3 linked regions of the Arabidopsis thaliana genome follow. The protein of the gene in region 3 interacts with the protein of the main gene of each other region in a pairwise test. Each region holds a gene or a part of one and is shown on either strand. Other genes may lie near its edges.

What was found.
Region 1: the proteins of SMO1-2 (region 3) and ABCG13 interact in a protein complementation assay, tested with the Arabidopsis thaliana proteins (one large-scale study listed by BioGRID).
Region 2: the proteins of SMO1-2 (region 3) and Cand3 interact in a protein complementation assay, tested with the Arabidopsis thaliana proteins (one large-scale study listed by BioGRID).

Annotation. Positions count from the first base shown.
Region 1 is NC_003070.9:19,076,299-19,083,254, reverse strand, and holds ABCG13 (ABC-2 type transporter family protein), read left to right. Parts: upstream 1-1,803; 5' UTR 1,804-1,919; coding exon 1,920-2,106; intron 2,107-3,688; coding exon 3,689-3,768; intron 3,769-3,852; coding exon 3,853-4,314; intron 4,315-4,388; coding exon 4,389-4,511; intron 4,512-4,593; coding exon 4,594-4,755; intron 4,756-4,842; coding exon 4,843-5,127; intron 5,128-5,209; coding exon 5,210-5,482; intron 5,483-5,577; coding exon 5,578-5,685; intron 5,686-5,766; coding exon 5,767-6,123; 3' UTR 6,124-6,417; downstream 6,418-6,956.
Region 2 is NC_003074.8:21,837,213-21,843,302, reverse strand, and holds Cand3 (tobamovirus multiplication protein), read right to left. Parts: upstream 4,119-6,090; 5' UTR 3,970-4,118; coding exon 3,847-3,969; intron 3,369-3,846; coding exon of another isoform or gene 3,341-3,368; coding exon 3,290-3,340; exon of another isoform or gene 3,181-3,289; coding exon 3,147-3,180; intron 3,056-3,146; coding exon 2,969-3,055; intron 2,877-2,968; coding exon 2,825-2,876; intron 2,725-2,824; coding exon 2,541-2,724; intron 2,456-2,540; coding exon 2,360-2,455; intron 2,240-2,359; coding exon 2,179-2,239; intron 2,036-2,178; coding exon 1,971-2,035; intron 1,879-1,970; coding exon 1,804-1,878; intron 1,715-1,803; coding exon 1,639-1,714; intron 1,562-1,638; coding exon 1,386-1,561; intron 979-1,385; coding exon of another isoform or gene 955-978; exon of another isoform or gene 896-954; coding exon 854-895; 3' UTR 540-853; downstream 1-539. Other genes in the region: AT3G59080 (Eukaryotic aspartyl protease family protein), read right to left, coding at 4,884-6,090.
Region 3 is NC_003075.7:11,954,325-11,958,893, forward strand, and holds SMO1-2 (sterol C4-methyl oxidase 1-2), read right to left. Parts: upstream 2,595-4,569; 5' UTR 2,372-2,594; coding exon 2,036-2,371; intron 1,958-2,035; coding exon 1,635-1,957; intron 1,294-1,634; coding exon 1,146-1,293; intron 1,053-1,145; coding exon 1,020-1,052; intron 860-1,019; coding exon 800-859; 3' UTR 516-799; downstream 1-515. Other genes in the region: AT4G22758 (PPR containing protein), read left to right, coding at 4,153-4,497. UniProt on the Arabidopsis thaliana protein: Non-heme iron oxygenase involved in sterols biosynthesis by catalyzing the removal of the first methyl group at the C-4 position. 4,4-dimethyl-9-beta,19-cyclopropylsterols such as 24-methylenecycloartanol are the preferred substrates.

The DNA.
Region 1 (6,956 bases), on a different chromosome or scaffold from region 3:
AAATAATTATAGTTGTTTTTTTTTTGGTTAAACAAAAAATTGATTATAGTTATGATATGGAAAAGATGGAAGAAGTCATTTAATAAGTTTATCTAACAATCTATGATTAGGTTATCGCAGTAATGAATTTTCTTTCTTAGCAGAAATGAATAATTTAGTCACACTAACTACATAGCTTTAATTTCTGTTGATACAATTGAAGACAAGAAGACATAAACGTTGAAACAGTGTATTTGGTACTGTGTATGTGTTTGATTAGCACGAAACATGGTTAAAAACATCACATGGTTAAAACAAATCCGTCACCATCTGTTTTTTTTTTTTTTTTTACAACATACTTGTTTTCCATTCGTCATATCCGAAAGAGAATAAATTTGCAAGCTCTTCAAATTCATGGTTCGGTATTATAATCTTAAAAAAAATATATAAACTTACAATATAAATAGAACGATAGGTTTGATAAACAATAAAAATAGATGATAGGGGGCCATAAATAAAAACTCGAAAACAAAAGTTAAATAGCAAAATGCAACAAGCAAGCTCATGATGTGTCGAATACACTTCTGCAAACAATTTGGGGGAGATTAAAAATAGTCACTATAAAAAAAATCTTATGACGTTGAGAATCCGTCTTTTGCCTCAAAAATTACCAACACGAACCACATTGAAGCAGCAAGGAACATTGGACGGTTTCTTTCCAGAGGCAGAAACTAAATAGTATATCTCAATAAGAAATTTAACATACGACCAAAATTAATTGCTTTATAAAAATAATTAAAATATTAATGATAACCTTTTCCGTGGTTAATTTTCGGCCATTATGATAAAATAATTGATCCAATCATATGTTTACACAACATACTTAAAATTCCTTATATACTCTCTTGATTACTTTCTTACCAGTTACATAAACTCAATATGCAACAACTAGATTACTTTAATCTAAACGTTCTGATATACGGCCTTATGTCGATGTTAAGTTATATATATCACGTTCACAATGTATATAAATAATTCAAATAATTTTCCAAAAGTAATGGCGTCTAAATATAGTTGAGTTGAATAGTATAGACTCTCCTCATGGATTTGAATTTCCTCTGTGATTCGTTTGAAAAAAAACAATGTTTTGGAGTGCTATACTAGTTGATACACCCAACCAAATCGGAATTTTATAAAAAATTTGGACAAAATTACCAGAAAATAAAATTATTGCAATTTACGTGATATATACCCTAAAGTGTTATGTTTCCTTAAATCGTGTAACGAAACCATAAGTTTCTTATCATGCGGATGTCTGTAGCTCTCGACATATATAGTACCGAACGGGTCCAACGAGTAAATGAATATAACATCAAACGTCAATTTTTCTGTCACATGCCTCGTCTATGCATGCATGATAGTGTACATATATAATAGTTTCCTTTCTGTCTTTTACACTATTCTTAATCCACTTTTCTGTTTTGCATGGGTAGATATTTTGTTTTGGTTTCATAAAATAAATAGAAACCAATATCATTTAGTTTGGTTCGATTTTTCTTCGGATTCTAAATTTTTTTTATTTTATTTTAACTAAACTATATGTTTTATTTATTTTTAGTCATGATTTATTTTATATATCAAAAATATGTAACCGAATTTATTACATCTAGTTTTTTCCAATCACTTTCTTTGGTACAGTTTCGGTTTGACTCAAATTAGTTTAAACCAATTTGGACCACCCTAATTTATACATTTTTTTTTTCAAAGACCCTAGTTCTCTTAATACATTCACCGCACAACTTTTTATAACTATAAATAAGGCCACAAGCATTCACACACATTACACTTTTCTCTCCCAAAGAAACAAAAAAAAAAACTCTTAAGCTAGAACAAGTTTAAAACTCTTCGCTCAGTTTTCGATCTATCTAACAAAAGCATACATGACTACGCCGGAGGGGGCGATGTATGTGGCGTGGGAGGATCTTACGGTGGTGATACCAAACTTCGGTGAAGGAGCAACTAAGAGATTACTGAATGGAGTGAATGGTTGTGGTGAGCCAAATAGGATCTTAGCTATTATGGGTCCTTCAGGTTCAGGCAAATCTACGCTTCTTGATGCTTTAGCAGGTCCCTTCTCTCTCTCTCAGACACACACACCCATACATGTCAAGATTAGCTCGTCGTTTTTATTATGTATTTCTTTTATTGTTAAATGGTTTTCCTCTATTATATAAATCTCAAATAAGCTGAAGCAACATCGACCAACAATTAAAAGATATAGTTTTTAGAGGAATTTAACAACCAACCACATTTAGCTTTGAAACCAACATTAAAGGATGAGACTTACCCACTTTGAACCTAGTATTTAGTGAATCGTTCTATGTACTCTATATATATATATATATAACTATAATTAACAATATACATGACGTTATGTCTTTCTTTTAAAAAATTGTCCAAGGAAACTTTCTCAATATACTATGTAAAAAGTGTTTCACTTTTGGAAAATAAGAAATTTCTGTTTTCTTACATTAAAAAATATTCACAAATCTTTTAGTAATTTTTATTTGGAATTGATAAGGATTTCTGCCATTCGTAGTTAAATTTGAGAATATAAGTTAGAATTTATTTGTTAGATATATATATATATATATATATATAGGTGTATGTCTGTGCGTGGGTGGGTGTGTGTCCTATTCAACATAAAATATTTAATTATTATTAACCTGTAAATTCGTATGTAATCAAAATTAACTAATATGATACTTGATTAGTTTTTTGTATATTGGAAAAATACATTACTACAATAAAATTGATAACTTTCCTATTTGAAAGCAACAAACTATGTACATACTGTATCAGTATCACAATTTGGTGAAATGAAAATATTAACTGAAGTTTTTGTACTCTTCTGTAATTTTTTTTTTTTTTCTTCTGTAACTTTGACCAAACGTAACATATATATATGTAAAAGAAATTTGAGAGCATGATATAACATATTTATGTATCAAGATATTTATAACTATTGAAAAACAGTGCTATATTTATATCTAAGTTTCATGTACACGATGAGACATATATAGATATTTCTAACTTTATATTTATGGATTCTAGCTACCAATTTTATTTTTTAAGTATAGCTATATACTATCGGAGTACTAAATAAATATTAAAAAAAAAATAGTTGCAATTTTCATGTTCTTAATTAATAAATTTACATCGTCGTACATTTAGTATTGAATAAATTGATAGTTACGTTTCTCTAACGTAGACTATGTACAGAAATTTTGCAGTAACATTTCTTATTAAATCATATTTTAAATGTTAACCAACTACCAATCACCAATATTCTGACACAAATATTTAGGATTGCACGATCGTATCTTCATACCGACTTGCGATCTCTTCACAAGTTGAACCCGGTTTGGTGACTGGTCGGACTCTTTGAGGGATGTTACGTTCAATCCAAAAACAATCCAAATCGATTATTATTTTCTTGACCAAACCTAAATTTGATTGGATTAAGAAGATCTTTATTTTATGCTTATGACTAATCGAAACCAATTTAATTTTACTGTGGCTAATATTCTTGTAAAAGCGAAAAACCCAAAACCGGGTTATAAGATTGTTCTATCAATGCTATAAGATTGTTCAAAAACATGAAAGATTTAACATCTAACATTAAAAGGTAAATTTGGTGATGGTACAGGAAGATTAGCAGGGAATGTTGTAATGAGTGGCAAAGTACTTGTCAATGGCAAGAAGAGAAGACTTGACTTTGGTGCTGCCGTAAGAAAATTTATCTTTTCTCTTTAGTTTTTACCCTTTTACACAATCAAACTATTATTATTCATGAATGTCCTAAACTCTCAGGCTTATGTGACGCAAGAAGATGTGTTGCTAGGAACTTTGACAGTGAGAGAATCCATATCTTACTCGGCTCATCTCAGGCTCCCTTCAAAGCTTACCAGAGAAGAGATCAGTGACATTGTGGAAGCTACAATCACTGACATGGGTCTTGAAGAATGTTCAGACAGGACCATTGGAAACTGGCATTTGCGTGGAATAAGCGGAGGAGAGAAGAAACGGCTTAGTATTGCCCTCGAGGTCTTAACAAAACCAAGTCTCCTCTTTCTAGACGAACCAACTAGTGGACTGGACAGTGCTTCAGCTTTCTTCGTGGTTCAGATTCTTAGAAACATAGCAAGCAGTGGCAAAACTGTGGTTTCTTCGATCCATCAGCCGAGTGGTGAGGTTTTCGCCCTCTTTGATGACCTGCTACTTCTGTCTGGAGGAGAAACTGTTTACTTTGGCGAAGCAGAATCTGCAACAAAGGTAATAAGATAGAGCATTGGCAAGAGTATATAACCATTATGCTCATTTGTGTTGTTGTTGCTTCGACATTGCAGTTCTTTGGTGAAGCAGGTTTTCCTTGTCCAAGTAGACGGAATCCATCAGACCACTTCCTTCGCTGTGTCAATTCCGATTTCGATAATGTCACAGCGGCTTTGGTTGAATCTCGGAGAATCAACGTTTGTTTTCCTCTGCCCTTCTTGTTTTTTCATGAACTTACAATACTCTCAAGCTTTTGACCTCGACCTTTTACATCTGCAGGATTCATCTTTCTCTCTTCACCAACTACATGAAACTACAAACACATTAGATCCTCTGGATGATATACCAACTGCAGAAATTAGAACAACACTTGTCAGAAAATTTAAGTGTTCACTTTATGCAGCAGCTTCAAGAGCAAGAATTCAAGAAATAGCATCGATAGTAAGTTACGGTTACTACTTCCCTTAAAACTACAATGTATCACATAATGAGAGTCTCATAAGCACAGTTATAAACCTTGTGCAACAGGTGGGGATTGTCACAGAAAGGAAAAAGGGGAGCCAAACTAATTGGTGGAAACAACTCAGAATACTTACTCAGCGATCTTTCATCAACATGAGTAGAGACTTGGGGTACTACTGGATGCGGATTGCAGTCTACATAGTGTTATCCATTTGTGTCGGGTCAATCTTCTTCAACGTCGGGAGAAACCACACAAATGTTATGAGTACTGCAGCTTGTGGCGGATTTATGGCAGGCTTTATGACATTCATGTCAATAGGAGGATTCCAATCCTTCATTGAAGAAATGAAGGTAAAGAGCTAAACAGAGAAAAATTCTCTTTCTTCACCTAAAAACTTATCTTATGTTTTAGCATCTTTATTCCTGAAAACAGGTGTTTTCTCGCGAAAGGCTCAATGGACACTATGGGGTTGCAGTATACACTGTGTCTAATTTACTCTCCTCATTACCTTTCATAATCCTTATGTGCCTCTCCACCAGCTCAATCACTATCTACATGGTGAGGTTCCAATCCGGAGGTTCTCATTTCTTCTACAACTGTCTCGACCTTATCTGCGCGATTACAACTGTGGAGAGTTGCATGATGATGATAGCTTCAGTAGTCCCTAACTTCTTGATGGGAGTCATGTTGGGAGCTGGTTACATTGTAAGAGTGGCCTCTGTCGCTCTTTCACCTACAAGCTTTCTTATATCTCCAAAAACTATTCTAAATTGAAAACCGCTTTATCCTTCATCTCATAGGGAATTATGGTGTTAAGTGCGGGGTTTTTCCGATTCTTCCCCGACTTACCAATGGTGTTCTGGCGATACCCGGTGTCCTACATAAACTATGGTGCATGGGCACTACAGGTAACCAGGTTTTCTCAACTTTAAGATGCAGACTATATCGTCAAGTAGCTATCTTAAATGAGCATACCTGATAAATTGCAGGGAGCATACAAGAATGAGATGATTGGGGTGGAGTATGATTCTCCGTTACCCTTGGTACCAAAAATGAAAGGAGAACTCATTCTTCAAACTGTTCTAGGCATAAATCCAGAAAGTTCAAAGTGGTTGGATCTAGCAGTTGTGATGATGATTCTCATTGGGTATAGGATTGCCTTCTTCGCCATCCTCAAGTTCCGGGAAAAGGTTTTCCCAGTTATTCACATGTTATACACAAAGAGAACTCTGAGCCATATCCAGAAAAGGCCTTCTTTCAGAAGAATGACACCTTTCCCTTCCAGGCGATACCCTGTTCACCATGCTCTCTCTTCTCAGGAAGGACTTAACTCTCCACTGCATTAGAAGCATATACAGCAGGATGCAATTTCCATATATTTCAATATGTCAGATGTCACTCTCTTCAAACTTGATAAACTGTTTGTAGCCCGTTGTGTAAGGAAAAAAAAAAGAAAAGAGAGATACTATCATTCTGACTAATGAGATTTGTTTAGCATGAGGATGGTATCTATCAGAGATACATATATTGGAGAAAAAAGATAAGCATGGCTACATTATCAGATTACAAGTGATGCATGCATGAACCCCTAAGAGAGAGTCTACCAACGAACCACCGTAAATATATCAAATAAGGCACTTCGTTTGCTAACATAGCTTCAGAAGAAACTGTGTTATGGAAATCAAATAAACAGAAGATGGTATGGAGATTTGTTACCTGGCTGGCAGTAGAACACTGGTCCTTGCTTGATAGCACCAGTGACGCAAATCTATAATCTGTGCAGCACAAGAACAGAACAGACCAGGCATATTTGACTTTTATCACTAAGTGCCATGAAATCTCCTCTTTTAGCATATAGTTGATAGGGAATAGAATCAAAACTAACAAAAGTAACCTCCCAAAGGCGTTTGTTGAACAGATAGAGAACAAACAACGAGATACTTAAAACCTTAAAAGTGTAAAACCAAGCAAAAATGGTAAATTTTCAACTTTGGGAACCCAAATATAAGCTCCCAGAAATATTACATAGTAAGGAAAAAAAATACACAAACAATCAATAACTTTAAACAAATATGGCTAATCCAGTTGTAAAATCAGAAAAAACCAGTCTGATTATTTTAGAGTAGACATGTACAGAACTCATTTGTTGTTCATTTGCTACCCTATGACTGTTACAACT
Region 2 (6,090 bases), on a different chromosome or scaffold from region 3:
ATCGATTAACATATTTGTTAATTGATCTCCTTTTATACCAACTTTATAGAGAACGCAAAAGAAAAGAGATTGATAAAGATGGCTAAAGGGTTTTCTTCGAGAGACTTGTTAATTCTATATACATATATTTCTGCTTTTTTACGTCTAAGCTTTTTCATCTTTTGATCTTTCTTATCTTTTTGGCTCTCGCTTTTTGCTTTTTTCTCTGGGCATAGTACGAAGCTCTCTCTAAATTCTTTTGCTTAGCGAGGAAGGTGACAGTGGAGAAGAAAGACGAAAAGAGAAGACCACAAATATCCAAAAAGTTCTCAAACGGTTTTTTTAAGGATTTTTTTTTTCATATCAGATCCGTCAATTTTAGGATAACATCCAACAAACGATACCGTTTCGGGGTCTCAAATTTTTAATGTGAAAAAAAATGGCGCTAAAAGTTTAACAAAATCGCGCTAACAAATTTTCGAAAGAGGAAGCAATACGACATCGTATAATGCCCGTGCTATCTTTCGAAAACGGTGGCGTTTAATCTCAAACGTAATATGCCATCTTTAAAACCAGAATGATGCGTCGTCGTATATGTAAATGATAACAAAGCAGCTTAAACGACGCTGTTTAGAAAGGAAGACAAAATTATATCTTCCTTGGAACACATTTTATATCCATCCACAAGTCCCCCCAACACATGATGCTAAACTATAAATTGCAATCAAAAGTTAATATTTACAGACAGCTTTCTCAGATTCAAACCTCCATTTCTATCTTATAAACAAATTTTTGTATTCCAAGGCGACTCAGAGAGAAGAAAACGAGCTTGTTTCCACTTTCATTCACTCCACCACAACACACCACATTGGGCCTAAGAACCATTCTGCAATCCCACGAGGCTTTTTCCCGGTAACTACAAAAGAAGATTGGCGGATGTTTGCTTCAGGTCAATGATTATGATGATTGTTTGGTTCATATAGGACTTGCTTTAGACACCTGCGCCGTCGTTTCCGAACCAAAAACTGTTAAGTGACCTCCCTAAACAATCTATGGTCGATAAAAAGGAAACTCTGAAATAACCTCAGAAGTCACTAATAGAATGAAAACTTCTTTCTCATTTGAGGATTTTTCGTAGTGTTTCAACTATGTATTCATGTTCAGACCGCAATTCGTTCAAACCTTTCTCGAATGCTCTCAACATTGCGTTTATCTTAAAAGTGAGCATACGGTTTGAGTTTTTCTTATCTAAATAGAGTTAGTTAGCTATAAATATTGTGGTTTGCTTCGGTTTATATTCCCACCCCTAGTTTATCTGATGCATGCATTTACAGCTTACTATAAAACTCCTTGTATGTGTCAGACATGACTTCCTAATTTAGATGTTCATCAAGAGAATTGTATACCTGATTTTTCGACACTGTGGCGGAGGCCCAGTCTTGTTGAGGACCTTGAGGTTGCCTTGGAACAGTTTCATAGTTGACATAAGTAATCCTTCTGGTGTCTTCTTGCCTACTCACAATGTTTTGAGGGGGTAACTCCCGCAAAACCCATAAAACGAAAGCCAATGGGACGGTGGAACCTTTAAAAAGCGTTCTTATCAGTAACCCTGCATTTGAAGGTCTTCAAAACAACAAAACGAAAGAAAAAAATCTTCACCTATGAAATAGTATATGATCAGAAGAACCAATGCTTTGATGCCGTGTAATTTGCTTGGGTTCCAATGATAAAAGAGCTGAGATCAAAGATTGGTTTTGGTTAAATGTATCGACGAATGTTAGGTTTCGGTTTACAGACATACTTTTTTGAGTGATAATGACTTACTGGAATGTGTGTGAGAAGAGCGATTAAAGAGCTAACAGTGAAGCAAACAACTGAGACTCCTGCTAGACCCGATACCTATAAATGGTTAAAATGTACTTTCAGGGTAAGGATTCGACTGACATGTGCAAAGAAAGAAAAGCTTGTTGAGCCAAAGAATCATTAGTTACCTTTCGCATCTCTGATGAAACTTGTTCAGACCGCACCTTTCTTAGATTAAAGAGCAGACGCAGGCCTAAAGAACATAAAAGAGTTTGTGAATATACGCTGTTCAATCATAGCAATAAGCCAGTAAACCACTGACCAAAACATCTCACGAATTGCTAGAAGAAAAATATGAATAGCTGAAACCAGAAAAGAACTTAAGAAATCACTTACCATAGAAGCAGATTCCTCCTCCAGTGATTAGGATTATTGCAGCAAAAATATCGACATACACCTATATAAGGAAGTGAGTTTATCATAAAACCAGAAAAAATATAGACAAAAGTCTTCTATTTCTCGAGCTTAAGAACTTAGTGAAAGAGGAAATATCAATGTGCAGAGGAATACCACATACCTCAGCCAATAATGAAGAATTCATAGGATTCTTTCCGGAAGCGATCCAGATAAGGATTGCAAATGATATCATTAAGATGAACACAAGAATAATTGCCTAGCAAAAAAGATAAACATTTTTATAAAGATCATAGAAATGACTTGGCTAGAGGTTAATGCACAAAACTGAAAGTATCCCATACCGCAACAACAAACTTCTGCCGGGTTCCAACATGAATACCATGGAAAGAGCAACACTTTCTACGATCACTTGCATTCGAAGAACCTGGCTTGCTCTTGCTTTTTTCAAGCAACACTTGTTGGATGCTATTTTCTTCATCATCATCATCATCCTCCTCTCCATTTCCCTGATGGCAAACATCTACCCTATAACATGAAGAAGCATCATTGTCTTATCTCAGATCATTATTAAGATAAAATAATCAGGGACAACACAATATGATCAGAGTATTGAGAATATACATACCAGAAAGAGAGAAGCAGGAGAAAAGTTGCCAGAAACAGAATTTTGGGAAAGGCTGCAAGTACAATTTGATTCATCAGGGAATTAACTATAAGACAAATCAATGAAAAACATACACAAACCTTCACAAAGGAATGAAATATTTACCCATGAGTAGAAAACCTAATGCGTTGGACCAATGATGCCACCTTGTGCAAGTCGCTATAACCGCAGCCACGAAATAAATAACAGAACCTGCCAATATATACGAATAGAGACCTTACTCACTGGCTAAAACTTCCCCCAATTATAATTGTTCCTGAACAACAAATGACTGAGGATTTACCAGTGTTTGAAGAAGCAATCATAAGATGAAGTACCTGCAATTTTCATGATGGATGTGTCAGATACACGCCATGAAAAGTAACAATAACTGTAACCATATAACAATAACATAGAGCCTAAATTGGTTGGGATGAGAAGAAATACTTTTTGCCGAGTCCATCCAACTTGTTTATTCCGCCTGTGAAATCGAGATAACTGAAAGAAGTAGGCAGCCAAGATAAATCTTATAAGCCAAACCCCACAAAAAAAGAAGAGAATAAGACTTTTTTTTTATTACTTCACCGTCTAAAACTACATAGGAACCTTTGAAAAGAACATCTTAATCTACACACATAGCACTTAAAAAAGAAAAAAAGATTCTACTTTCTAATGCTAATAATTCATATCATATTCAGATTCCCTGAATCCAAATCTCTCATTCTACACAAACACACTTCAGCTCCGTGAGTTATTCATAGAGTTGACCTTTAAACTTAATGGTCAACCACATGAACAACAGACACACAACTCTAAAGACTGAAATCAACCAATTCATTAAATTCAACATCAAGAATCAATAATCTCACATCTCGTTTAATCAATAAGCACAATGCTTCACCTGTCCGAACAGGCCTTAACGGTCACACACAATCTAGCATTCACAAATCAAGACTGATTTTTTCTTTTTCTTTCAGGAAATCAGAAGAACCAAGAATCAGAACCTGAAGGAATGCGATGAAAGCAAGAGCGGCATCGATAAAAGCCAAACAGAGATTGACGGCGATGAAGCTAGGAGCATAGCATTTATCCTTGGTTGATTCGAAAAGAGTCGCTAAGATCTTCATCGTGAATCCGCTCTTTTCTTCTCGATCCTCCCCAAGAGATCGAATGCCTAGATTTTAGGTTTGTAAGAGAGAGAGGATCAAAGAACACCACCGAGACAGATGGTTGTAGGAGATGGGTTGGGTCTGGTCTGAGAGACAAAAATAAAAATTATTTTTTATATTTATATATTTCCTGGACAACACAATATACTATCTACTAAATTTAATTGCTACAAGTGGTACGGCACACTAGAATATACAACAATTACTGCCATAAATTAATTAATTAATTACTCTTGGCTTAAAAGAATTATTAAGTAATCAATATCTCTTTAACTAAAATTAATTATTAATTATTGTTAGAAGATGTAAAATGAGGGTTTTTTGTAAAAATCAGAACTAAACGAGTTATTTTTGCAAAACAGAGACACCTCTTTTCTGCAACTCTCTTCTCCGACCATGCTCAGGTACATAATCCGATTTCTTTTGTATAGTTTGTGTTCTGCAATAGACTCAAGCTTCTTTAGTTTCCAATTTCTCTAGATTTTCTGCATTTCTTTCAAATTGGATCAACAAAGACGATGATTTGACAACTCCTTTGCCTTAAAACCTTACCAAAGTGAGTCCTAAACTCACAAACAATTCAGGGATTACTAATCAAACTTTGACAATTCCAGTGACTACAAATTTACTTGTCATTGATGGTAGACTATAGAGTTTGAGAAAATGCATGTAGCAAGCAAAATTAAATCACTTTGTATTCAGAAATGAATTTGAATAAGTACATTAGTTTGGTATGATCTTTGTTCTACAGCAAATACATTACATGTTTGAAGGAATATCCTAAAGAATGAAAAAATCTAAAGGGAAAAAAATGAATCTGTTCTTATTGTGTGTTCAGTTGCTTTGATGGACTTAAAAATCGACAAGAAAGATTATATATCTGCACACTTTGTAGGTGCATACCCGAGCCTAGACCTCTTTGTATCATAGAGTATATGAAAATTCTGCTGCTGGTAGTTTCCAATGATTGAAAATGCTGATTTGGGAGTTCCTAGCATTGCCAAGCAAACCAAATCCTCATTCAACCATATGAAAGAATTCTCTGTCGGGAAGTTCCAAACAGCGCCATCTGCAAAAGCAATCCCAAGCTCTGGCAGCTGAACGTTATGAATGCCAGAGACGTTGAAGCAAGGATCTAGGATTGGAAAATCTCTATAGACCGGATACTTCCCTTTAGCTTTCTCAGCAATCTTGTTCTTGATGAATTCATATGCAGGTTCTGCGAAGTAACTTAAGGTTGTACCTGAATCAATGATCGTCCCTCCAGCTCCATCTGATGAGATATTCCATGTTTCTTCAGGTATGTTTAGAACTTCTCCCGCGACTAGAATGGATTTGATTTGTACGTAGTAAAATGTGTCGACGAGGTTTTCTTTCCCAGCGACAAAAGAAGTGAAGTTCAGATTCGGGTGACTTAACAAATCCTTGTCTTCTCCGAAAATCAGTTTGCTACTAACGTTGGTATCGCTGTTTCTGTCGACAAGGCAATAAGAGAAGGAATGACCATAAAGAGACTGAAGCTGAGAGGAAAACGAAAGCGGGCCTCTTCCTAAACCAAGCAAGCCTGCAGCACCATGGAAGAGACCTCGGTTCCAATGACCGCAACCGAACATCATATTTTCAACATTATACAACTCCGAGCTCCCTCCATTTGTCGTGAGGTTAACCGTGAAAGTCTCTACTGCAAAATCTCCGGTAGTGTTGGAGCTATCCCCATACCAGTAGTAGTAAGGGCATGATTGGTTATCTGATTTGCAGGGCATTGGAGGGTCAGGTGATGAGACTAGGTTGCATCTTTGGTCATTGCAAGTTATGTTCTTGTAAGAAGCAGAGGCTTTAGGGTCATAAAACGCACCGTTTTGCTGGAAACAGTCGTAGCAAGGCAAGCATTGAATCCAGTTTAAGTCACTCCCTGTATCAAGAATCAAGGAGAAGTGTTTTGGTGGCGAACCAACCAACACGTCCATGAAGTACTCGCCAGAACCGAGAGTCATACCAGACTCAAGTGTTGCCACCAATTGACCAGCCTGCTCCTCCACGGAAGAAGCCACCGGAGTAGTGGTAACAACTTCTTTATCA
Region 3 (4,569 bases):
AAAAAAATATAGCCTCACACAGCTACAACCCCATTCTTGAAGTTATTATCATATTCACTGTGTCCATGGTAATTCTAAGACAACGAGAACAAGGAAATGTGTGTTAAAGAAAAACTGTGTGTTGTTAGGTTTAGTTGAAAAAACACAGGAAGGAAGAGAGTGTTTCGATTTTAAAGTCATAAATTAGTTGGTAACAACTAAATAAGTTATTGTACCTACTACTGTACTTAAAACTGTTGTTTTCAAGTTTGGTGAGACAGCTTTAGTAAATGCATGTGTTTCGCTTGTTTTAGCCTTCTTTGATTAGATTTGTTTTCCGAGAGTGAAATCGACCCCCATCATCAATGCAACTATCGTTATGGTAAGGATTTTCCTTTTAAATCATGCCACTCAAATGCAACAAAAAGGAAAAGAAACGCCCACCGTGGGGCTCGAACCCACGACCACAAGGTTAAGAGCCTTGCGCTCTACCAACTGAGCTAGACGGGCCTTGTTGTTAACGTTAGATACTTAAGTTATACTTAACTTAACTTAATACTATCAGAGTAGGAACTTGTTACAAGCCAATGAATGCACTATGTAACATTTAAAATATACAAAAAGGATTTATTGACACACACCAATTCCAAAAGAGTTTTAAAAAAAACTTCAGATAGGAACTCGTCACGAGCATTTTCATGTGACACAGGGAAGACCAGAACAGAGAAAACTAACTACCCTTTCATTTTTAAGTATTGACTACATTTGTAGAATGCTTGAAACTTACGGTAAGTCAACCTCGCGAGGGGTTTTAGATTTACTAATCGAATTTCTCTCCTCCATTAACCAGCTTGTTGCTCTTCTTGGACTTCTCCTTCATCTGCAACTCATAAGATATAGCATCAAGAAACATATCATCAATATGATGATACTAGATACCACATATACTGTTATGTGAGCTTGCAATTTGATGGCTGCGTTTATGGGTATGCGGTATGCCGAGAGATAAGCTAGTCTCAGTTTATGGAGTATTTATTTACCTGCTGAAGAAGCTTCTTCTGGAATCGGTAACCCTGATGAAAATAAGAACATATACCCACATTGTCAAATTTTTATCCAGAATTAGTAGACGCTAACCGGAAAAGAACTGAAGTTTCATTACTCACTTTATCAGTTCCATAGATGTAATCGCAGTAAGTAAAAACTGAAGCAAAGTTACTCTGGCTTTGTCCTCCAACGTAGTGATGGTAATCATGATACTCAGCTCCACCATAAAATGGAATGTACTTTGTCAGAGACCATGGGAAATCATATCTTCAAAAGAAAACGAAAAATAAAAAAAACAAGTCAATTTATCTCCAGAGAAACAAGTTTCATGCACCAAGCAATCATCATATTGTCCAAATACTTATTTGAACAAGACAAGATGCTTATCATCTCAAGAATGATTTCTTGCTCATGTTGACCACAAAAGATTAACTAAGCAGTCTCTAAACAATCACCTAGAGCTAATTACAGTCAATAAAGCATCAGAAAAGGCTAGTGCCTAACCTTAGCCCCACCAACAAAAGGTAAACGCACTATTGAAACTTCCCACATAGCCCCAACGCATTATAAACTAAGATAAACAATTCAAAACCATTCCTTTTCCTTACCCGCTATGAGTTTCGATAGCCTCAATCTGTCGTAAAGCAATCCACAACCAAAAGGTAATCATATGACCAGGAGCAATAGCAGGTCCAAGAAACGTGGGAATGCCAAGAAGCAAAACCTCAGCCCAATGAGCATAAGGAGCAGCATAACCAATAGGAGCTGTATACTCATGATGAATATGATGAAACTTCTCATAACCCCATTTACAATGAAAGAATCTATGAACCCAGTAATTAGTATAATCCTCTACCAAGAAGTAAACCACTAACTGTGCTACAATCTCCATACATGATGGTAATGGTAATCCACTTCGTATCTCAATCATCTGTTTCAACACACGAAAAACAAAATCAACCTAAATCGCATCAATTCCGAAATTAGAAGCCAAATTCCAGAAATTAACCTGAATCGAAGGATAAGAAACGAGTTGTAATGGACCAACGACGAGGATGAACATCTTCATGACGTCTTTGTAACATTTGAACATCGATGAGAATGAGTTTTTCACTTTTGGTTGGATTTTGTAGCGATTGAACAAATCTGAGGTGGATTGAGATGATTCGATGAAAACGAGAGGGAGAGGAACGAGAGAGAAGATGAGGAAGAGGAAGAGAATGTTGTGGCAGTAGAGGTAGTAATCGGATTTGGTGGCGGAGTAATCGAACCAGAGAGTCTCTAGCCATGTGAGGTTTCGAGATAATGCGATCGACGCTTCTTCGATTGTTGCGTATGGGATCATTGTAGAAGATGATGAAATCGTTTCCTTCCGGTGACGGCGACGGTCGTTGACGTGAGATTGAGATTGAGATTGAGAGAGAGAGTGAGAGAGGAGAGTGTCGTCGTTGTTGTTGGATTTTGTCTGTTATGATTTGGCGAATATTTGGAGTAGTGACGTGGCATTATCGGTTTAGTTTACAAGTGTGATGTTTACTTGTTGAACCGGATTAAACCAAAATTACTAACATTGTCTCAAGATCTCGCTTACAACATAAAAAAGAGGGACAAAATGGCCCATACTAAAAGCCCATTATAAATTATTGGGCCATTAAAATGGATAAAATGTACTCCACAGTAGCGTTGTGTTTGGAGTAGGCCCAATTTTCTTTCTTTAATTGTTTAAATGGTGCATACAAATTTCTGTTTTTTTTTTTAAGAAAAAAAACTTTATTATACACTTGGATATACACATATATATAAAGACACGGATATACATACACGAGTTTTGTGGAATGTGTCTATGAATTTTTATGACACCATTATACTATAGAGATAGCAAAAGGTTGAAATAAATTGAGGCTGTTGGCCAATTGTATTTAAGTAATAGAATGGTATTACATCATCACGAAAAGTGACGTTACATTTGAAATTATAAAGTCTTACAATTTTTTCGTCATGACAATAAATGATATTTAAATGTAATAATACATATTTTTTAAGTTTCAAGTATACATAAAAAAGGGTCACAAACGATCGTTGTTAAATACTTGGTGGAAAACAAGTGCGTTACGCGTGAACATGAGTGCGTATGGCATAAGAGAAGTCGACCACACCATTAATGACTTTAAATCAAGCCCAAAAGTTCTTTCTTTTAACAGTGGAAACAAACCTCGGACCAATCTCAGCCACACAAATTCTCCTTTTTATTTTATGTTGTTTTTTCTTGACGTTGATGAATTCTTGTTTTTGGTTATAAATTTTTTATATTACTTCCATTACTCAGCACTTTCGTAAAATTTAATGAATTGATGATACTAGTTGAGTCTCCCTCCTCTCTAATTGTTTATGTGTTTTTTTTCATTTGTTTATGTGCTTCTCACTATCACCTTAGATTTTTTGTGTTTTACGAAACTTGTTTGGGTTTCTCGTTTTCTTGTTTAACGTGTCAACTTTTCTACAAATCCAATAGTTTTGTTTCCTTTACACTTTATAGGATTGTGAGTCTCCCAAGTAATCTTCTAAAACAATGCATCAAGAAATTTATATTCATTTGTACAAGTATATTATTGCCTTTTTCCAACACATTTTATCCATAATAAGGATAGATTTTTTAAAAAATACTCCGTATGCTAACCAGAAAACATTTTAGCTCCATAATTACATAGAAGTTTTAATCTAATACAGTGCTACAATTCAACGCATTTCTATTTTACTATAATAAACACAAGTACGTAAGAATCAGCACAAGATATCATACTATAAAAGAATCGATCGTCGACAGGAAATATAAATACTATATTACAAGAACCACGTCTATATTACTACCTTTAATCGTGTATTTTTTTTGGTCGGTTTGAATTTAAATGTTAAAATCCACACTTATGTTAAAAAGAAAAAAAAAAACAATTTGATTTGGAAAAACATTTGAAAAATACAAATGAAAGAAAAGAAGATAATAAAAGAGTAAAGCAAAGCAAAAGCAGAGAATAACTCTTAATTCGCTTCTTTGCCAAGCAAACCACCAAAACCTCTCAATTGTTTTTTCTTCTTCCTCCTCCTTAAGCAAAGATCATCATTCACGAAATGTCTGATTCGATTCACCGGAGAAAAGTTTCGAATCCTGTAGGAAATGGAGGTCGGAGCTCCAGAACAAGACGAACAGCTTTCAGATATGTTTCCGACAAGAATAATCGCTCTAAATCGAGTAATAAGGTTTTCGAGAGAAGCTTCTCAGAGCCGAGTCTTAATCGCCACCGCGACGGACAGAGTAATCACTTGCGGCGACCATCGCCGATGAGAGGTTTACCGATGGAAGAAGAAACAAAACCGATCGTTTACTTGCCTAGGATTCGCTCTGAGGTTTTCGCTTCGTCTCCGTCGTTGTTGAACTTATATTCGCCCTCGTCTTCATCTCCGATCAATCAAGAGGTCAGAGTCGTTTGCTTCTATTTTTTCAAATCAACAAATTCATGATTTCAACTCTGTAAGAGAATTCATCAT